Linked DNA regions of Macaca mulatta. Each later gene encodes a partner of the first gene's protein in a complex. Links are inferred from orthologs where the notes say so. Each region holds a gene or a part of one and is shown in the gene's direction. Other genes may lie near its edges. The genes, in order: PIGC, PIGY and phosphatidylinositol N-acetylglucosaminyltransferase subunit P-like.

Region 1 (3,266 bases):
GCCAGGAGGGGGCAGCAGCCACGTCGCGATGGTTCCGGCTGGGGAAGGGTGCTCTCGCTGAGGAGATTGCGGCAGACCCGGAAGTGCTCCGCCACAGTCGCAGCCCCTGCGCCCCGGAGCGGGAAAAAGGCTGGGTGCCGCCGTCCCCCAGCTGCGCATCCCTAGGAACTCTCGGGCAGGTGGGTTCCGTGTAACTGTCAGTGTTTCCGGGGCTCCTTCTCCTCTGCTGTCTCTCGCAGGCTCAAGGCTGAGTGAGGGGTGGCGGCTGGAGTGGGAGGCCCGGAGAGTGAAGGCGCACCCCTGGGGTCACCCTACCCTACCCTACCCTACCCTGTCCCCTCCCAGCCCCACTCTGCGGGCGGGCGCTGCCCTTTTGGGCGTCGCGAACCCTCCAGCCTCGGCGGCGGCCTTAAGATTCCCGGGCTGGGATCCCCGCTGCAGAGAGCGGGGTAACGGTGTCTGGCCTGCCAAGCAACACTTGTCGTGGTCTTCATGGAAGAAATAAAGTCGGGCAATATGAAATTTTTTTTCCTCAAATTTGCCGGATGCCTGTGGTGTTTCTGACTCTTAGTTTTCTCATTGTGAAAAAGGGATGATTACCTTTCTGGATCCTCACAAGAGTTTCCTTGTTTTGAGTAGACTGATAGCTCTTTAAAGGATGCTAAGCTCAGCTAATGGAAGAAGAGTCTAGTTTCTTTGAGTCTTTGATTTTGGCTAAACAAACTGTAGAGCTCATACCTTTCTGTATGGTGCAGCTTACTATTGTCTTTGGATTGGTAATTTAAAAAATATAACATGCCTTTGAGAACCAATAAAAGCTATGGATATTATCCGTATAAATTCACACAAATCCGGATATAAACATGCAATGTGATACACCGAAGGGGTATGTGAACCATTGAGTTAAGAACTGGTTTAGAGGGAGATACAATGTCAGACACAGGCTTTGGGATAAGACTTTGGTTTGAATCCTGGCTCTGCTCTGTTACTTTAGGGCAAAGTTACTTAAGCATCTTGAATCTCAGCTTTTTTACCAAAGCAGGACTAATACTAACTTGCAAGGTTGTGAGGATTAAGTGAAAGAAGATACATAAGGCATTTAGCACATAGTAGGCACTCAATAAATGATAGCTAACAGATGTCTTTTATTATTCAAGGAATTATAATTTTCAAGTCTGAAATGCAGTTTTAATGTCCCAAATTAATAAGGTGACTACCACATACATTTTGCTCAGACTTTTAGTAAACTGAGTTGATTTGACTTTAACTCAGTACTACTCTTGACCTTTCACAACTTTTGTAGGTTCACAGTCTCTCTTTTTCTAGGAACTTGGCTGTGTTGTCCTGCCTCAGAGACAAATTCATCTGTTGTAGGCCTAGCCTGGGTTGCTGCCTTTGAAAACAAGGAAAGGTTGATAGAACATCAACCACAGCATGGAATTTCCAGGGAGGTCTCATTTCAAAACTTCATAAAGAACAAGAACCACCTGGACTTCTGTGAGGGCGATGATTAAACTGGCCTGAGTTTGAATGAAAGGATAATGTGTGCCCAACCTGTAACTAGCACCAAGGAGGTCAAGTGGCAGAAGGTCTTGTATGAGCGACAGCCCTTTCCTGATAACTATGTGGACCGGCGATTCCTGGAAGAGCTCCGGAAAAACATCCATGCTCGGAAATACCAATATTGGGCTGTGGTATTTGAGTCCAGTGTAGTGATCCAGCAGCTGTGCAGTGTTTGTGTTTTTGTGGTTATCTGGTGGTATATGGATGAGGGTCTTCTGGCCCCCCATTGGCTTTTTGGGACTGGCCTGGCTTCTTCACTGATTGGGTATGTTTTGTTTGATCTCATTGATGGAGGTGAAGGGCGGAAGAAGAGTGGGCAGACCCGATGGGCTGACCTGAAGAGTGCCCTAGTCTTCATTACTTTCACTTATGGGTTTTCACCAGTGCTGAAAACCCTTACAGAGTCTGTCAGCACTGACACCATCTATGCCATGTCAGTCTTCATGCTGTTAGGCCACCTCATCTTTTTTGACTATGGTGCCAATGCTGCCATTGTGTCCAGCACGCTATCCTTGAACATGGCCATCTTTGCTTCTGTATGCTTGGCTTCACGTCTTCCCCGGTCCCTGCATGCCTTCATCATGGTGACGTTTGCCATTCAGATTTTTGCCCTATGGCCCATGTTACAGAAGAAACTAAAGGCATGTACTCCCCGGAGCTATGTGGGGGTCACACTGCTCTTTGCATTTTCAGCCTTAGGAGGCCTACTGTCCATCAGTGCTGTGGGAGCCATACTCTTTGCCCTTCTGCTGATGTCTATCTCATGTCTCTGTCCATTCTACCTCATTCGCTTGCAGCTTTTTAAAGAAAACATTCATGGGCCTTGGGATGAAGCTGAAATCAAGGAAGACTTGTCCAGGTTCCTCAGTTAAATTAGGACATCCATTACGTTATTAAGGCAAGCTGATAGACTAGCCTCCTAACTAGTATAGAACTTAAAGACAGAGTTCCATTCTGGAAGCAGCATGTCATTGTGGTAAGAGAACAGAGATCAAAACAAAAAAGATGAACCAAAGGCTTGGGTGGTGCGGGTTCTTATCCTTTCCGTTATTTTGTGGATGAAAATACTTTCTGGGACCCTCTTGAATTACATGCTGTAACATATGAAGTGATGTGGTTTCTATTAAAAAAATAACACATTCATCAAGTTGTCTCATGATTTTTACATAAACAGTAGGCAGAGGGGCATGAAGAGTGAAGAGTGTGTGCGTGTGTGTGTGTGTGTGTGTGTAAAGTCACTTCTCTCTACCCTTTTCAATGTGCTAATGCTGTTTTATTTATCTAGGGCTCAAATCCTAGAACACAAGGTGCTGTGTTCAGTTTTGTTGCCCAATATCACAGAATTGGTTACCTAACCTTGACTCAGTTTCTACCTTGTTGTTACGGAAGCATATACACAACTAATTACAAAGCAGAGTGTGATGTGTCATAATAAGCAGAATGCTAGGGGGAATTCAGAAGCTGGAGATAAATTTCAGCTGGAATAATTAGGAAATACTTATGAGAGGCAGTGACATTTGAGCTTAGTCTTGGAGGATAGGGAGACTTAAGTAGGCAAAAGATGGTTTTAGGGCAATGTGTTGAAGGCCTTTAGAGGCCAGGTCAGTAACGGAAGCAAGTGAAACTGGCATGCTTTGTGTGACTGATGGCAACTGTGAACAAATGGAGATGTCCAATGGAGACACCTGCTACAGTGCTCCAAC
Region 2 (3,672 bases), on another chromosome or scaffold:
GTAAAATGAGCAGTTAAGTCACTTGCCGAAGTAATCCGGCTACTAAACTGTGGACAGGAAACCAAGCTGTCAGGCCCCAGAGCCCAAGTTCCCATCTACTACACTGTAAGAAAGAGATCTAACATGCATCACTTCCTCGGAGAGTCGGAAGCAAACCTGGGATACAAATTCACTGAATGGATCACCCATTTGACTAACAGACATCTGCCTGTTACACAGTTATTTAGGCCCTTTGCGGCCTCCAAGCTCATTGATAGAAGTAAATTAGTTGTGCTTTATTACGCAAATACTTCACAATGACTGGGTCTCAGGCAGGAAGAATTTATATATTTTGGAGGGTCAGAGGCCTAGACCATTCCTTCCAGGTTCTCACTTTTTTAAATGAGACAGAAAGAAGTCAAACAAGATTACAGAAACTAATGGTATAGTAAAGACGTACATGAAACAAATGAACGCTTTCAATACATCCATGGCAATACATTCAATACAATACATGACAGTGTGTTTGAAACTTCACTTGGAGGTAACCACGTAGGTCCAAGCCTAACTCCCTACAACTCTGAGATCTGGCCACTGGCTTCCTAGCATCTCTGCCACAGGCCCCGGTGAAAGCCCAGACACCTCGACTTAAACACTGATTTAGTTTGTAGTCTGGTAAGGCGGCGGGGCACCCACTAGAGGCCTCAGCCCTGGGGCTGTCCTACGGCCTGCAGATGACGTCCGTGGGAAAAGCAGTCGGAGCAGGAGCACCCTCGGAACCAAAGCGCCCGCCCCGCCTACTCACCGGCAGCGTTTCCCAGAGCACCAGGGGGCGGGGCCTGGTCGGCTGGCTTGTACTACCGCGGAGCGAGGAGCTCGGCCCCGGCTGGCGGAGGCGCAGTGAGGCCTGGTCTCCGGCTGCCAGACCATGCTGAGCGGAGCACGCGGCAGGCTCGCCTCAGCGCTGCGGGGAACTAGCGCAGCGCGGTCCGCGGTCGCCTGTAGGTGTCTGCACGCGTCGGGCTCGCGGCCTTTGGCCGACCGGAGCAACGAGACGGAGGAGCCGCCCCGCGCCTTGGATCCGGCGCTGCTGGAGTTCCTGGTGTGCCCGCTCTCCAAGAAGCCGCTCAGGTGACTCGCTGGTCTTGGCCCTTCCTTCGCAGCCTCCCGGTGGGCGGAAAGGGAGTGGTGGACCGCGGCCTGTCTCAGCCACTGGGGACTTGTAGGTCGGTGAATACTCTCCGCTGCCATATTCTGGACTCTGTCCCCGCCGGTGCATGCACCTCCCCCTGCGGCGGGCAGAACGGGGGAGACCGGAGGCCAGGGGAGCCGCGTCCCACATCTCCCAGAGCACATAGCCAGCCTGCCGGAATGGCTCGAAGCGTTTTAGGCTTCGCGACCGGCTGCTCTTTGCAATCACCCGGGGACCGTTTTAAAAATGCCGATTCCCCTGCAGCCCCCAAGACGGGCAGACTTGGAATGCTCGGGGGTTGGGACCTGAACATTTGTATTTTCTTTTTTTCCTTTTAAGAGACAGGGTGCCCCCCTACGTTGCCCAGACTGGCCTAGAACTCCCACCTCAGCCTCCTCAGGAGTCGGGAGACAGGCGCCGCCCCCACGCCCAGCTTATTTGTGTTCTTAAATGGTCCCTAAATGATTTCTAACGTACCAGCAGGTTCTTGAATTACTGCGATTCAGGACAAGTCCAAAGCCATCCGGTTTTTAAGCCAAGATAATGAAAAGTATTTTACCCTCCAGATTCTTGTGAAAGTGTCTTGTACAACTGGTGCCTGACAATCTTAAGCAATTCAGCTGTGTATGCTGCCTGGTGGCTCTTAGTTGTGGCCTAGCAGATTTCTTAGAAGCCTCTTTAACCTAGTTTTTGGGAAGACAGCTCTACAGTTTCCAAGCTCCCAAAAATGGAATATTGACAACACTAACGCTAGTATTACAAATCGCATAAACGAAACACCAAAACGTTGTCAGTGGTTATCTTTGAGTGGTAGATTACTAGCAATTTTTCATATTTCTTTTTTCCCATAATAAACATATTCAGTTTTCTCAAACCTTGAAATTATTTGATTTGCGTTTATAACTAGCTCACGGCAGACTTACTGCTTTCCAAAGTTTCCTCATTTCTGCCCTCTCACCTTTTCCAGTGATTTCCTTCTAATGGATTAGTTAAGTTTTTCTACTTAGCATTTATTCTAAAACGAAGAAGTTGATTTTTCTCTAGTGTTTATTCCAGTAGTAAATTAACAGAGATGATTTGGGGGTTGACCAAAGTAATGAAGGAATATTTGGATAAGAGAGGGGGATCTTTTCTGACTAGTATGAAAAAAAAATTAAGGAATAACTTGTGAATAAGGTGAAAAAGAGAATATGAGAGAAACTGACTAAAATGGGAATAATTATAGATTCTAAGAGAATTTTTCTAAGATAAAAGGTTGAATTGGCTATCGTTGCTTTTAATTAAAGAAGACTATTCTGGGATTAACTCCATACCAAGAATTGGATAAATGGTGGTATTTGTTGAAAATCAGGCTCTTCAATTATTTTATTTTTCCACAACTCATTTTGTTCTTTTTTTTTTCCACCCCAGATATGAAGCATCAACAAATGAATTGATTAATGAAGAGTTGGGAATAGCTTATCCAATCATTGATGGGATTCCTAATATGATACCACAGGCAGCTAGGATGACGCATCAAAGTAAGAAGCAGGAAGAAGTGGAGCAGCGCTAGTTCATAATTAAAAAAACATAAAACGCAACAGCCAACTTTTCTTAGTACCATATACCTTTTAAAACACAGTGGCAGGTAATAAGTGGAAGAGAAGAATGTTTCTGTCTCTTCCTACATTGACTGTTCTTATTCCACTGGTTTCTTTAACAGGACTGTTCTACTCAGCCTCTGTGGAAGAAAACTTCCCACAGGGCTGCACTAGCACAGCCAGCCTTTGCTTTTACAGCCTGCTCTTGCCTATTACCATACCAGTGTATGTATTCTTCCACCTTTGGACTTGGATGGGTATTAAACTCTTCAGGCATAATTGATGCAACTAGAGTCAATATGCTGTATACATTAATGGTAGTTCTTGGGCATCTATCTCTGAAAGCTCAAATGGATGGAATTGAGTTTGTGGGAAAGAGGCTTTGCTTTGCGCATATCAGGCTTAGGACTGTGGGAAGCTTAAGTTGCAGGTGCTTCTTTTATTGTGCTCTTGTTCTGCCCTTGTTTTTTGAAGGCTCTGACTTATAACTGCTGTATCAGAAGAAACATTTTGACAGTGTCTTGTTGGAGATAAACATCCCTAATTGACATGTGATGACTATTTCTTATTCCATTCATCTAAAAGTCATTGAAATTTTGTTTTGCTTGTTTGTTTAGCTTCAAGGTCTTTGGTAAAGTCACATGTTAGGGATGACTGAAATAATTCCAAAGGAGTGATGTTGGAATAGTCCCTGTAAGGGAGAGAAATGCATTTGAACGAATGTGATACAAAACCATATAATGAAATAGAAATTTCATGTACTTACAAAAATTGAGTTTGTAAAATTACCTTCATTTCTTTGACATTAAATGCTTATATTAGCAATAAAGATGTTGACACTTTCCCATAAAAAATAAACCAGTTTGTAATCATTTGTTTTGTTTATTTGTTTGGTCACAGAAGTGTTATTGATACTAAGGG
Region 3 (3,010 bases), on another chromosome or scaffold:
ATTTTCTGCAAGTTGCTTTTTTATGCAATAATGTGTGGGTTTTGTTTGTTTGTTTGTTTTTGAGACAAGAGTCTCACTTTATTGCCTCAACCTCCCAAGTAGCTGGGATTACAGGCATGTGCCACCATGACCCCGCTAATTTTTTGTATTTTTAGTAGAAACGAGGTTTCACCATGTTGCCCGGGTTGGTCTTGAGCTCCTGAGCTCAGGCAATCTGCTCTCCTCAGCCTCCCAAAGTGCTGGGATTACAGGTGTGAGCCACCGTGCCTGGCCTGGTTCCTGTTTTTGTAAGGAGATTGAAATGAGATGCAAATAAACAGAGAAGAGATTATATCTAAGAAATACAAACAAGTCTCTCTGCCGCCCTCACTACATGGACATAGACCCACCAAGCAATTCCACCTGCTGCTTCAACTCGTATTATTCCCAGTCGTTTACCTTCTGGCTGGCAACCTTCTCCTCCTTACCTACTTTTAATGCTCCTACCTCCATTCTGTTCTCTCTACCTTCTTCGCAGGGGCAAAAAATAAATTCCTCCCATTTTCTCATGGAAAGCTCTTAATCACATCTTCTGTTACTAGGGGCCTGGTGCTCCTGCCTCCAGTTTGTGGTTCCTCAAACACAGTTCCTTCCTGTGTCAGTTAAGGATTGCAACGTAGCAAGCCCACCCCAAAACTTAACTGTCTTAAAACAATACTACTTATTAGCTCATGAATCTCTGGGTCAGCAGTTTCGGCTGGGCTCAGCTAGGTATTATTTCTGGTCTTGGCTAGGTTCATTCAGGCACTGTGGTTAGCCAGGTGACTCTGCTTCAGGGATTGGTTGACTGTCAGTTGGGACAACAGCAGTGACTTGACCACTCGTCTCTCCTGCTCCTGCAGGCTAGCCAGGGCCTGTTCTCACAGTAGCAGCAGGACTCCAAGAGCGACAGAAGCAGCATGCAAGGCTTCTGGAGGTTCAGGCTCAGAACTGGCACGATGTCACCTCTGCCTCATTCTATTGACCAGAGCAAGTCACAGGCCAGCTTAGATTCAAGATGTCAAAAAATAAACTCCATCTCTTGATTGGAGAAGCTGCAAAGTCACATTCCAAGGGGCCTGGAAACAAGGAGGATGGGAGGACTGTGGGTTGGATTCTCTGGGAAGCAGACTCTGAGATTGAGATTAACATGCAGGAAGTTACTCAGGGAGCACTCTTGGGATCAACAGCAGAAGAAGAGCAGAGAAGGAAGCAGGATGGAGCAGAGGGAGAAATTGAAGTGCAATGTCAGAACAAAGACTTCCACTGACCTCATGGAGACCTCTGAAACTGGAATAGGTCTTCCAAGTTGTCCTGAGTAGAGGTAAGGGGACCAGGCCTCTAAGCTCCCAAGCTGATCAATCATTTATGCAGACTGCCCTGAAAAGGCAGCAGCCAAGGAAATTCCCAAAGAGGGCTTACAGCCAAGAATCATCTGCCAACACTTCTCCCAGTAGCTGGTGGAATAAATCCTTCATTCCTCAGTGGGGGAGGAGGGGTGCCTGTGCCAAACATCACAGTCCACTCGACTGCCACCTCTCCCTAAGAATGCTAATGCTTATGATAAAACGCTTGTCACTTGCTATATATGTATACATTAAATATTTATAATCACTTACTAAATGCATCGCCTAACTTGTACAGATTTTAGAAGATCACAATGCTAAATGTCACTCCTTTGAACTTAGTCGTCATAGTTTCATTGCTCATTTATCTAGGTCATCCACTCGAAACTTTAAGGGATGAGGAGAAACAGCTTCTCCATCAGAAACCTAGGGAAGAGCCGCTGGCTGGCTCCCACCCAGGGGGAGGGTCATCGTGCGCCTGTGCCTGAGTGGGAGGAGCCTTCGCGCCTAGGCCTTTCCCTCAATTTTTCTTCTTCCCCTCACCCACCCCTCCCCCACCCCACTCCCGCACTGGGGCTTCCTGGTCGGCGCTTTTGCAGGGAACTCAGCGCTGAGACTGTCTAAAGCCCCAGGAAAAATGGTGGAAAATTCACTGCTGCCAGGAAGAGCGATTTATGACTTTGTGATTCTCTTAAGCTCCCAATTTGGCTTCATACTTTACCTTGTGTGGGCTTTTATTCCTGAATCTTGGCTAAACTCCTTAGGTTTAACCTATTGGCCTCAAAAACATTGGACAGTTGCATTATCTCTCTACCTCCTTATTACTGTAGTAATTGGCTATGTGCTCTTGTTTGGGATTAACATGATGAGTACCCCTTCACTCAACTCCATTCATACAATCACAGACAACTATGCTAAAAATCAACAGCAGAAGAAATACCAAGAGGTGGCCATTCCAGCATTAAGAGTTATTTCTGCTAGTGAAGTAAACCAAATGTTATTTCTTGCAGCCAAAGACCTTTACACCAAAAACTGAAATGTATGTGGCCATGCTAATGAGAGGTGAAGCTGGCTGGGCTTCTGGGTCCGGGGGGGACTTGGAGAATTTTCTGTCTAGCTAAAGGATTGTAAACACACCAATCAGCACTCTGTGTCTAGCTAAAGGTTTGAAAATGCACCAATCAGCACTCTGTAAAAACAGACCAATCAGCACTCTGTAAAATGGACCAATCAGCAGGATGTGGACGGGGCCAAATAAGGGAGTAAAAGCTGGCCACCGAAGGCAGAAGTGGCAACCCGCTGGGGTCCCATTCCCACACTGTGGAAGCTTAGTTCTTTCGCCCTTCACAATAAATCTTGCTGCTGCTCACTGTTTGGGTCTGCACTGCCTTTATGAGCTGTAACACTCACCATGAGGCTGTGCTCTGCGGCTTCATTCCTGAAGTCAGCCAGACCAGGAACCCACGGGAAGAAAGAAACAACTCCAGATGCGCCACCTTTATGAGCTGTGACACTTACTGTGAAGGTCTGCGGCTTCACTCCTAAAGTCAGTGAGACTGGGAACCCACCAGAAGGAAGAAACTCTGGACACATCTGAACATCTGAAGGAACAAACTCTGGACACACCGTCTTTAAGATCTTAAGAG

Evidence for each region.
Region 2: PIGC (region 1) and PIGY share a complex: the UniProt entries of both Homo sapiens proteins name them as parts of the glycosylphosphatidylinositol-N-acetylglucosaminyltransferase (GPI-GnT) complex. The link is inferred for Macaca mulatta from reciprocal best matches to the Homo sapiens genes PIGC and PIGY.
Region 3: PIGC (region 1) and phosphatidylinositol N-acetylglucosaminyltransferase subunit P-like share a complex: the UniProt entries of both Homo sapiens proteins name them as parts of the glycosylphosphatidylinositol-N-acetylglucosaminyltransferase (GPI-GnT) complex. The link is inferred for Macaca mulatta from reciprocal best matches to the Homo sapiens genes PIGC and PIGP.

Annotation. Positions count from the first base shown.
Region 1 is NC_133406.1:29,931,375-29,934,640, reverse strand, and holds PIGC (phosphatidylinositol N-acetylglucosaminyltransferase subunit C), read left to right. Parts: upstream 1-1,325; 5' UTR 1,326-1,541; coding exon 1,542-2,435; 3' UTR 2,436-2,628; downstream 2,629-3,266. UniProt on the Homo sapiens protein: Part of the glycosylphosphatidylinositol-N-acetylglucosaminyltransferase (GPI-GnT) complex that catalyzes the transfer of N-acetylglucosamine from UDP-N-acetylglucosamine to phosphatidylinositol and participates in the first step of GPI biosynthesis.
Region 2 is NC_133410.1:97,843,195-97,846,866, reverse strand, and holds PIGY (phosphatidylinositol N-acetylglucosaminyltransferase subunit Y), read left to right. Parts: upstream 1-818; 5' UTR 819-907; coding exon of another isoform or gene 908-1,110; intron 1,111-2,581; coding exon of another isoform or gene 2,582-2,723; 5' UTR 2,724-2,818; coding exon 2,819-3,034; 3' UTR 3,035-3,613; downstream 3,614-3,672. UniProt on the Homo sapiens protein: Part of the glycosylphosphatidylinositol-N-acetylglucosaminyltransferase (GPI-GnT) complex that catalyzes the transfer of N-acetylglucosamine from UDP-N-acetylglucosamine to phosphatidylinositol and participates in the first step of GPI biosynthesis.
Region 3 is NC_133415.1:86,726,351-86,729,360, forward strand, and holds the end of phosphatidylinositol N-acetylglucosaminyltransferase subunit P-like, read left to right. Parts: intron 1-1,715; coding exon 1,716-1,736; intron 1,737-1,972; coding exon 1,973-2,400; downstream 2,401-3,010. UniProt on the Homo sapiens protein: Part of the glycosylphosphatidylinositol-N-acetylglucosaminyltransferase (GPI-GnT) complex that catalyzes the transfer of N-acetylglucosamine from UDP-N-acetylglucosamine to phosphatidylinositol and participates in the first step of GPI biosynthesis.